Linked DNA regions of Mus musculus: all the other regions are reported to be linked to region 2. The links are microRNA targets in miRTarBase. Many come from high-throughput screens and were not tested one by one. Region 2 holds a microRNA gene; each other region holds the end of a gene's coding sequence.

Region 1 (3,266 bases), not on the chromosome of region 2:
TCTGTAGCCAGTGTCCCTGTTTGAATTGACCATCTGAGTGGGTTCTTGAGACTTGGAGACAAGCATTGTAAGGAAAACCCCTTACTTTGTCTTCTCTTTCTGTGTTTAGGAGCCGTCCTTTTCAAGGTCCATTTCTTTGACTCGACCTGGAAGTTCTACCCTTACAAGCGCGCCTAACTCCATCTTGTCAAGAAGGCGGCCACCAGCAGAAGAGAAAAGAGGTCTCTGTAAGGCCCCTTCGGTGGCCTCCTCCTGGCAACCCTGGACACCTGTCCCCCAGGCTGAGGAAAAGCCGTTGTCGGTGGAGCATGCTCCAGAGGACTCTCTATTCATGCCTAACCCTGGGGAGAGCACAGCTACAGGGGTGCTGGCAAGTTCTCGAGTCAGGCACAGGTCGGAGCCCCAGCACCCCAAGGAGAAGCCATTTGTATTCAACCTTGATGACGAAAACATACGAACCTCTGATGTGTGATATGCAGTGCCCGTTGCGTGCAGGAGAGCCAGGGGCTGTGACTTATTTTCTCTGCCATGGTAGAGGACAGAGTCTAATGGCACTCACAGTGGAGGGGCTCGTCTAGCTGGCTTTGGTTTTGCTATTATTGACACCATTTATTTAACTGGGGAAAGCCACTAGGTTAGACCCACAGGCATACTCTATTACCTCTTGAATGTCCCCATTTCCCCAGGTTTCCTAGTGAGGGGTTAGTTTTCATACTTCCTGTCTGGAGGAGGCTAGAGTCCAGTTTCACCCATAAGCTTTTCCCTCTTGTATTTCTTTTATAGTCTTGGTTTTGCACAGGATCTCTGGCTAAGAACTGCTTTCATCTACCCCTGTTTATTGACTGAAGTCTGGGGATCAGTCAGACCATTAGCATCCAGACTGACAGGCATCGGGTGAGACTCAGGTTATACAGTTCCGATTGGGATCTATCTGAGAGCGGTCGTAAGAGTCTGGGGAGTGAAAGGTGAATTTTTGGGATATCTCCCCCAGGCAGTTCTTTCAGGATACCTCCCAGGGGAGCAGACAGGACCTCTTGTGAGTCATGAGGGCTAATTAAACTGCTATAACCACTTGTAGGAATCATGTCGTCCTCTTGATGCTCCATGACCCCAAATGACATAGAACTGAGTGACAGAGCCACCAGTCTATTTTCCGTGTCATGTCCCGAGGATATGCGGTTATCAGGGTCAAATGTTATGATTGCAGAGACCAGAACAGAGACTTCCCTTGAAACTGAGGTGTGTGTGTGTGTGTGTGTGTGTGTGTGTGAAAGAGAGAGAAAGAGAGAGAGAGAGAGAGAGAGAGAGAGAGAGAGAGAGAGAGAGAAAACCACTCATGTTAGGACAATCTCTCTCTCAGAGGCTTACATTAATATAAAGCAGCTACTGAGAAGAGATGGATGGTTGTTTATTGCAATAAGCATCTTTGATCCATGTTTTCCAGACAGGAGAATGACTCTTTCTTGGCACAGTGAATCTTGAATTCCTGTCTCACAGCTCTTTTATAGCCAGTCGACTTTTGTGTAATGCTAAGTGCTTGTATACTGTGCAGCCTGCTGGCCCACTTGCTCTTTGCTTTATTGCACTGCCTGTTAAATGAAGTCATGCACACACCAGGTGGAACTCTAGCGTCTGATAAGAGCCTATACACTCACTAGTGAAGAGACTTAAATGTGATTTTTCCCCCCAGTACTTACATTTTTCATGGAATAGAAACTGGGAATAAAGAAATTGAATCAGAGGATGAATTGTTGGCTAGGAATTTCCTAGGTTCTAGAAGAGTTTAGAAGATTAGATTTCCACCCAAAATTTAGGGTATGGCTTTTCCACTGGGCAAGATACTATTTCCAGTGCCTTTGGGGTCATTTCTATCAGCCTTCAATGAACTGTGCTACCAGAAAATTATGGCCATTTCCTACAGGGAGAGAGGTCATGGCTCATTCCTATCTGTGTAACTTTTATCTGCTAGGTAAATTAACCCTGTTTTTAATTAGAAATTTGTAGCTCTAAGAGACTAGGAGGCATTTTTTATTTAAGCTAGTTAGCACTCTGTGTCCATAGTTAATGCAAAAGCAAAAACAGGCATAAAGCTCTCCGGGTGAGAGGAAGCATGCTCTTTCAAATGTGACTGTGACCCTGAATCTGGTGCCACACTGAAGACTTCTGGGCTCCGTGTGTGGGAGCTGTCCCCCGACTTTGTCTGGCCTTGTGATCCTGATGAAAAGAAAACCAAACAAAAATCAGTGGGCTTCTTTCTCTTTCTGTTCATGATCTTGTGTGTCTCCCATCCCCTAAAAAAAAAAAAAAAAAAAAAACTTTTGTGTGTTTTGGTTTTTCAGGGTTCGGGGATTATTTATTTAGGAGCGAATAAGGTTACAACCTACTTCAAAAGTCAGTGCCCTTTGTCTCTGGTTTCAGCTTAAAATCTTCCCCTAGAAAATTCTTTGGCTGCTCAACAGAATTGCTCAATGTGAAGATGAGGAACGAATGAAAAATAAATCAGGAACTCCTGAAGGGCCTCGAACATGCCCTGGCTCAAGGAAATGAGGTCATCTTTTGGCGTTTAAATTGCAAAATCTGTCTGTCCCTCTCTTAGAAACTGTTGGCTTGGTTATTAGTGCTGCATCAACGGGTCCTTACAGAAAGTTGAGAGGTTTCGGTACACACTCTGAGATCATGTTAAACACAATGCGGTGTATATTATGCAAACAAAGGAAAAGTACAGTTTCAGTGATCCTAACCAGCCCATACATGAGACTTGCAAGTTAGAACATTGTTAATAGCGGTGCCCAGAAAATATAATTATCTTTGTGAAGCCTCAAAACATTTAAAGTCTCAATTCTTGTTTCAGAATTCCCCTTCTGTCTGTATTTACACACATACACACACCCTTTAAATTTGTTTTTTGCTAGAGTCTTGCTACGGAGTCCAGGCTGGCTTTGAACTGATAATCCTCCTGCCTCAGCCTCCTGAGTGCTTGGATTACAAGTCTATGCCACCATATCCAGCCTAGGACAGTATTTTAATGTGAGCCAAAGATGGTGCATAAACCTTTAGTTTTCAAGGTGTGATGGCGTGTGGGTTTGTGGTTAAGCATAGATTGTGGATAAATCCGAAGGGATTTCTGGATTATAAAAGATACTGCATTTCCTGTGTGGAATAAAAGCAGTCTCTGGGGTTGGGTCCTTCTATAAAGCTTCGAAGGTATTGTTCTCTGTAGCTGAAGTATGTCCTATCCATTACTCTTCAATGCTTTGGTGGACTTG
Region 2 (3,266 bases):
CTGCCATGCACATCTGTCATGCACATTTCTCAGGCTTAATGTTGCTTAGTATCTTTATTTTCTAATTTCTCTCATTTGTTGTCTACAATCTGGACATGCTTGCTAGTTTTCACTTATATCTAAATTTTGTGTAATTTTCTACTTTCAGCAGTAGTGTAGCAGAGAACAGATGACATTTTAATTTCTTCTTTCTACTGTTTTTAATGTGCCCCGTCTGCTTCAAATGTTCTAATCCTATCCTCATTGCTAAATTGTATTGTACCTTCAATTTTTCAACTAAGTAATTTCTCACAGAAACCTCCTGCTATGACTGGATAATGTGGACTCTAAAGCAATCTATGTGGACCCTTTTTAAGGAACACAATTGTTCTTGTTGGTTTTATTTATTTTGTTTTATCTGTTTCTTGAAGCTAGGGTATGTATTGGGTTTGCATTTACTTCCTTATACCTGGCAAGCATTATGTACGTCATATACCAGCCATACGGTAAGTATATATGAATGTGTAAATAATTTTACAATTTATTTTCCACTTAAAGTTTTTCCTTGCTTAGCCAGCCAGTCTGGCCTTACTTCCCTGTTTTACTTGGGAATGCACAGTGATATGTAGTGACAGTTTTGAACACACTAAGATGTTAGATTTGCAAATTTCTGAAAAATATTGTATGTTAATTATTATTGACATTCATGGTATACATACAAAAAGTCAAAATTCTCAAATCCATAGATGGCCTGAGAGATATAATCCTAGTCCATTAAAATTTAAAAATTATTTTCTTTTTAATGATCATAAATTAAAATTCTAGTTTTCTTTTAAATCTTTAGATAAATGTTACCATTGAAGCAAACATAACAAAGGAGAAAAACGAAAGATGTTTCATTCCTGTGAATTTATTAAAGCAGTGCCCATTAGAGATTTTTTTCAGTTACTTTGGTGTTTTGTTTTGTTTTGTTTCTCAAAGCTGAACCTAGTGAGGAAACTAACATATATTTAAGTAGCCTCAGAGAGTTTCAGCCAATCACATGCAGAACTCAAACTTAAGATAGAAAAAAAATCAGATAAAATCTAAGAACTTATGCAAAATACATGTAGGCTAACTGAGACTATTTTTAGAGCAAAACAACCACATCATGTGTATGTTGTAATGTGAGATGCACGTATGAAATGTCATTCCTTATTTTACTTCTCTCCTCCCACAGGTTATATTAATATCCATATCTCAATTCTATGAGCATAGTGGGCATTTTACTTCTCTTTCATCTCTTGGTTGTTCTTGCTCATTCCTCTAATTGATCTACCTTGATACATAATACGGAAAGTATAATTTGGTTTTATGTATTTTTCAGATTTTTTCAGTGTTTCTTATTATTTTACCAATTAAAAATGTATATATTATAATACTATATATATAAAACCTGTTGATTCATGAATGTTTATTCTCTTGCTCAAATGTTGTTAAAATTAAATTAAATTATATTTTAATGCCATATGAACGATAAAAAGATGTCTTGAATAATTTTTCAAACTCTGGGCATGGTAGCATATAATTTTTATGTTCATGTGTACAAGCATTACATAAACTGTCACGTGCTATGGATTTCTCTGTGAATCACTATATCAAATCTAGTGTGGTAGTGGTTTACAAAGTAATTCATAGTGCTTCACAGGTGCTCCTACAGTTGATCTGTATTTTGAAACCTAGGATCCTTCATTGGGCCATTGAGAACAAATCCTTAAGCTATAAGATTTAAACCTTTCATAAACAGTTACTTTGTTAATTAGAGAACAAGAAGCAAAGATATGTCAAGCACTGGAAAATTAAGCTACATATATTGTAACTTGCTTGTAATATAACACCTGAGAAGCTGAGGCAGGAGGATGGCAGCATTTGAGGACTGCCTATTACATATTGCCAGGCCATCTCATATCTCATATATATATATATATATATATATATATATATATATATATATGTATATATATATATATATACACACACACATATATATGTGTGTGTGTGTTTGTGTGTGTGTGTGTATTTTACATTTATGCACAGTCTGTTCTTGTTTTTTTTAGCAACACCTGCCCCAACAATTGGCAGTATGCCCTATTTTTAAAAATGCAGTAGATCCAAAACAAAAGCACTGAATTGACATCTGCACCCATTAATTATAAGTGAAACATTTTGAAATTTAATTCTGTTACTATTACTTGGACAAATATATATATATATATATATATATATATATTAATAAAGAGGAAACATTTTTACAGAGAGCTTATCCAGTGACTTTACTGATTATGCAATTCAAATAGAAATTAATCAGGGAATTTATAAACATCATTATTTTAAAATAATTTTAAAAGTAACTAAATTTTAATACTATTCAAATGATACAGACACAGAATTAGCCAAAATATACAAAATTGTATACTTAATTTGCCATTATTTATCATTAATTCTCTACAAATTTAGCTTCTGTCATCTTTTAATGGCAAAGAAATTTAGTAAGAGTCTAAAGCCATCGTCAATGTTTGAGAACTTGGATTGTGCATCAAGAGAACCAGGGTACAATTTGCTGCACACCTGCATCATATGCATCACAGAAACCAATAAGTTCAGCTGAAGAGATCTGACACTCTCTATCACTCTCTATTGGCCTATGTTGGACCTTACACTAATGTGCATGTTCCCACACACAGATGCACTCATATACATACTCATAGTGTTAGAATAATCTTTAAAATGAGTAAGTTTCACAAGGCTAAAGAGTATAGTTGCTATCATGTTACCTACCAGTTGCTGGGAAACAACAGGAAGTTCATGGTTATTACCCTCATTAGTGTTGTTAAATGTGCTGATTCTAGAAACAGAAACCCAACCTTTCACCATTAGTTTTTCAATCGCTGGTATAAGCTCCAAAAATTTTGTTTAGTTTTGGTATATGAGCTCTTCTATTTGAAGGCTAGAACTTAGGTGTAATCTAAGCTCAGTCATATGGCAACAAGATTTTCGTAGTGATAGATTGTATTTATCTCCGATTTCTTGTGACACCATTACATTCCTAAATGATAATGAACAGGATTCTGAAATTACTTATGAATCATCATTGAATCAATCTATTATTTCTCTTCTGAAGTTATTTTTGTCTTGCTATATTAGAGCTAATACATCTTGTTTACAAGTTTAGGTATCATTACAATGTCCTAACAAATCAAAAAGTTTTTCCATTATACATTAAAAAATAAATCTTAAAAATAAAAATA
Region 3 (3,266 bases), not on the chromosome of region 2:
CAAGTGCCCAAGTTAAAGCCTCAAAGAATTAGTTTTGTCCTCTATTTACCCAGATCCAAAGGCTCACAAATCATGACACATCTTCAGAGTAACTGTTAGAATATTCTAAGTGACCTGGTGATATGCAAAGCCTGCATCTTAACAAGGAGCATGCAGCTTGCATCAACTTCTTAACATTTTTCACTGAGACTTGGCTGAACTTCTTTACCAGGGTCCACAAATCTGTTGATTTTTCTATACTTTGCAGATACTTCTCAAATTCCCAGATGTTCCACTCACAGTTGCCTCATGACAGGCTGTTTTAATTATAAATATCCTTTTTAGGATTTGATATTTCATATTTTACCCCTTAGTGAGTTATCTAATACATTGAGCCCTAGAGAAGTGGTTCTCAACCTTCCTAATGCCACGAGTCTTTAATATAGTTCCTCATGTTGTGGTGACCCTCAACCATAAGATTATTTCATAACTAGTTCATAACTATACATTTGATATTGTTATAAATCATAATGGCAATCTCTGTTAGTCAGCATATCTGTTATGTGACCTACCCACCCCCAAAGGGGTTGCGATCCAGAAGTTGAAAACTGATGCTCCAGAGACTCAACCAACTCACGTCAACCAATCTCATAGAGAGTTCTTGTTTGGGTGATAAAGGCCAAGGTTCTCATCCCGTGTGAACTATCATACACTGAATCAATTAGCAGTCTCACCAGATAACTAGCTACTCTAGCAATACTCAACAATACTCGGTCAATATTTAATCACTTCATTTTTTATAAATGACTTTGTGACTTTTAAATTACAGCAAGTTCTACCTAATGTTGGATTTTTACAGAAGAGACAAGGTTTTTTGTTTTTGTTTTTAAATGAAATGATCTTTTTCAGATGCTGGCTCAGTTCTTTCATCCCAAGAAACCAGCAACATTTTTTTCAGTGACCACTTCACGATGGAGTCAGAGCATCTCATCTGAGTTTTAAGCTTTGTGTCTTCCTTCACTTCCAGGAATCTTGAGACTTCAGTCAGGATGTGATGGCCAACATGATGGAAAACTCACAAAAATCTTCCCTTGACACAGTACCACTTTTTCATCTCCAACTCCTTCTTTGTTCTCCACACTAAAGTTCCACAAATTCTCCACAGAAAGACCATCTCTACATATTTGATGCCACCACACTGACAATTTTGAATACATTACAGTTACACCCTCCATAAAAAGCCACATTAGAATAGATTTTGTCGAACTTTATGTTATATTCAAAGTACATGAGGAATTTGTGAAAACTGTTTTCTGGTCTGTATTACTGGGGTTTCTGATTAAGTAGGTTTGGGGTGAGAACCAAGAATCCTCATTTCTGTTAAGTTCCTAGCCTCCCATGCTGCTGTTCCTGGGACAGGCTAAGAACCACAACTTAGATTGTTCAGCAACGCTGCCTACCTAGTATCCTTCCTACCCGTCTTCTAGTTAAGACAGGCCAGACTCTTATAAGAATAAAGCCCTTTCCCATGCCATAGAAGGCACTTGTCTTTGACCTACAAATAGAAAAAGAACATGGATGACAAAGTAAGAAAACTCATGAGAATCTTGGCATGTGTTTCTAGATCATGGGGAAAAAAAGTAAGAAAAAGAAATCTGTTAAAGAAAGGAATTCTGGAAGACAGTGTCATTTATAAAATAAAACTACATAGGCTGGGTGAAGTGGTGCAGCCATGTAATTCTAGAAGTTGAGAGGCTGAGGCAGGAGCATTGCAAGCTTGAGGCCAGCAAGGGAAGAAAGGAAGGAAGGAAAGAAGGAAGGAAGTGATAGATTTGGAGGTACAAATATTAAACTGTATCTAATTGTTTAGCTGGTTCTTGGTTGTATACCATCCAAGATACTAGCTCGATTATGGGCTTAGGTATACAACATCAAGAACTAACTCTAGCTTAAATGTTTGGGACATTTGGTGATACTGTTCCCAGAAGCTCATCTTAGAGGAATAATCAAAACCATGGTTAAGCTGCTTGGTTTAATTTTTTTTTTAGCACTTGAAAAAAACGTACAGTAGTTTGAAGTCAGTCTTTGCAAACCTCGACAGAGGTCAAAGATTTCATTCATACGTACAAAATTAGTTACAAATTTTTTTTTTTTTTTGGCAATTTCATCTTAGTAACCCGTTTTATCCTATTGCCATTGTCCCAACCATTGAAAAAGTTTACAATAATTTACATAGAAATATCTTCAAAGTGCTTAAGAATAGTGATTGTTCTCTGGGATATGTACAGGTGGCCTATACAATGTATGTACAGGTGGGAGTCACTATAGCACAAGGTTCATTGCTGGAATATGGCTTTCTAGGGAAAGTGCATATTTGGCCAGAGATGGCAATACTGTCTAGGGGCTCAAGGGTTACAGATACTTGGTAACCACATCCAGAGCTGAAGTAGAATGTGGCCAAGAATATTTACAAAAGTAATATAAAAATGATCAAGTACTCAAACTTGATCCACAAAAAGATATCTTGATGTTCTTCCAGATGGGAGGAAGAAAGGAGACTTCAGCGCTGGCTCTGTTACCATTCCAGAGTAGGGTGTTATTGGTGTAGACCTCATAGACCAAGATTTGTTCAGAACTCAAGCCAGATCATCATCTGTGCTTACAACTGATATCTGCAGAGAAGACAAAGGTTCAGGTGAGCTTGGCGGTTACTCTACGGAGTGGACTTTGCTTTTGAGTAGGCCATTTAAAGACCAAAAGAGTTGGAGGTCAGAAACATAACATTATTATTTTTTTTATGTACCCCAAGCTGAAAATCTAAAATTCAAAAGGGGATTCCAAGTCTGAAATCTTCTGAGTATCACCATGACACTACAAAAGAAAAATTCTACATCTAACCTTATATTATTGGTTGTGGTCAAAATGAACATACATCAAAATGTCATGTAAAGTGTATATAAAACAAATGGATTTTGTGTTCAAACTTCTTATGTATGCAAAAACTTCAAAATCCATGCCCCTCTGAACACTTTGGACACCAAGTATTTTAAATATGGGATATTTAACTTGTACCTACTTGGTTGGAAAAAAACTTTGACTGATTCTGTTTACGGACTATAAATCTTAAAGACAAATGTGAAAAGATATATGATATGCACTGAACCTTACTCCCTGTTCCACCAGAGATCATGCAAGGACACTGTTCATGTTCATCATGGTTCAGTCAGCATGGTCCTGAAGTGGAGGCCAAATATGTACTTGAGTTTTTAGTGGAAGAACAAGCGATT

The links. The annotated mature microRNA mmu-miR-876-3p reads UAGUGGUUUACAAAGUAAUUCA and lies in region 2 at 1,632-1,653, shown strand. An mRNA with a match to its seed (bases 2 to 7 or 8) in the 3' UTR can be bound and repressed. Matches are read on the target gene's strand: a 7mer-m8 pairs with bases 2 to 8, a 7mer-A1 pairs with bases 2 to 7 and ends in A, and an 8mer does both.
Region 1: miRTarBase lists Plekha2 as a target of mmu-miR-876-3p. Seed matches in the 3' UTR shown: 7mer-m8 at 1,067-1,073 and 7mer-m8 at 1,329-1,335.
Region 3: miRTarBase lists Vldlr as a target of mmu-miR-876-3p. Seed matches in the 3' UTR shown: 7mer-m8 at 384-390.

The regions. Positions count from the first base shown.
Region 1 is chr8:25,039,882-25,043,147 of GRCm38, reverse strand. Plekha2 (pleckstrin homology domain-containing, family A (phosphoinositide binding specific) member 2) reads left to right here. Exons shown (of 12, transcript NM_031257.3): 12 at 110-3,266. The coding sequence ends at 472. Among named protein-coding and RNA genes, the nearest start is that of Htra4, 2.6 kb to the right of the region's middle.
Region 2 is chr4:36,643,770-36,647,035 of GRCm38, reverse strand. It overlaps Mir876 (microRNA 876), which reads left to right and starts at 1,583; the gene lies at 1,583-1,663. The region is part of intron 2 of Lingo2 (leucine rich repeat and Ig domain containing 2); the gene reads left to right.
Region 3 is chr19:27,248,490-27,251,755 of GRCm38, reverse strand. Vldlr (very low density lipoprotein receptor) reads right to left here. Exons shown (of 18, transcript NM_001161420.1): 18 at 1-2,651. The coding sequence ends at 2,616. All of the region lies in intron 3 of Gm35438 (a long non-coding RNA gene), which reads left to right. Among named protein-coding and RNA genes, the nearest start is that of Vldlr, 33 kb to the right of the region's middle.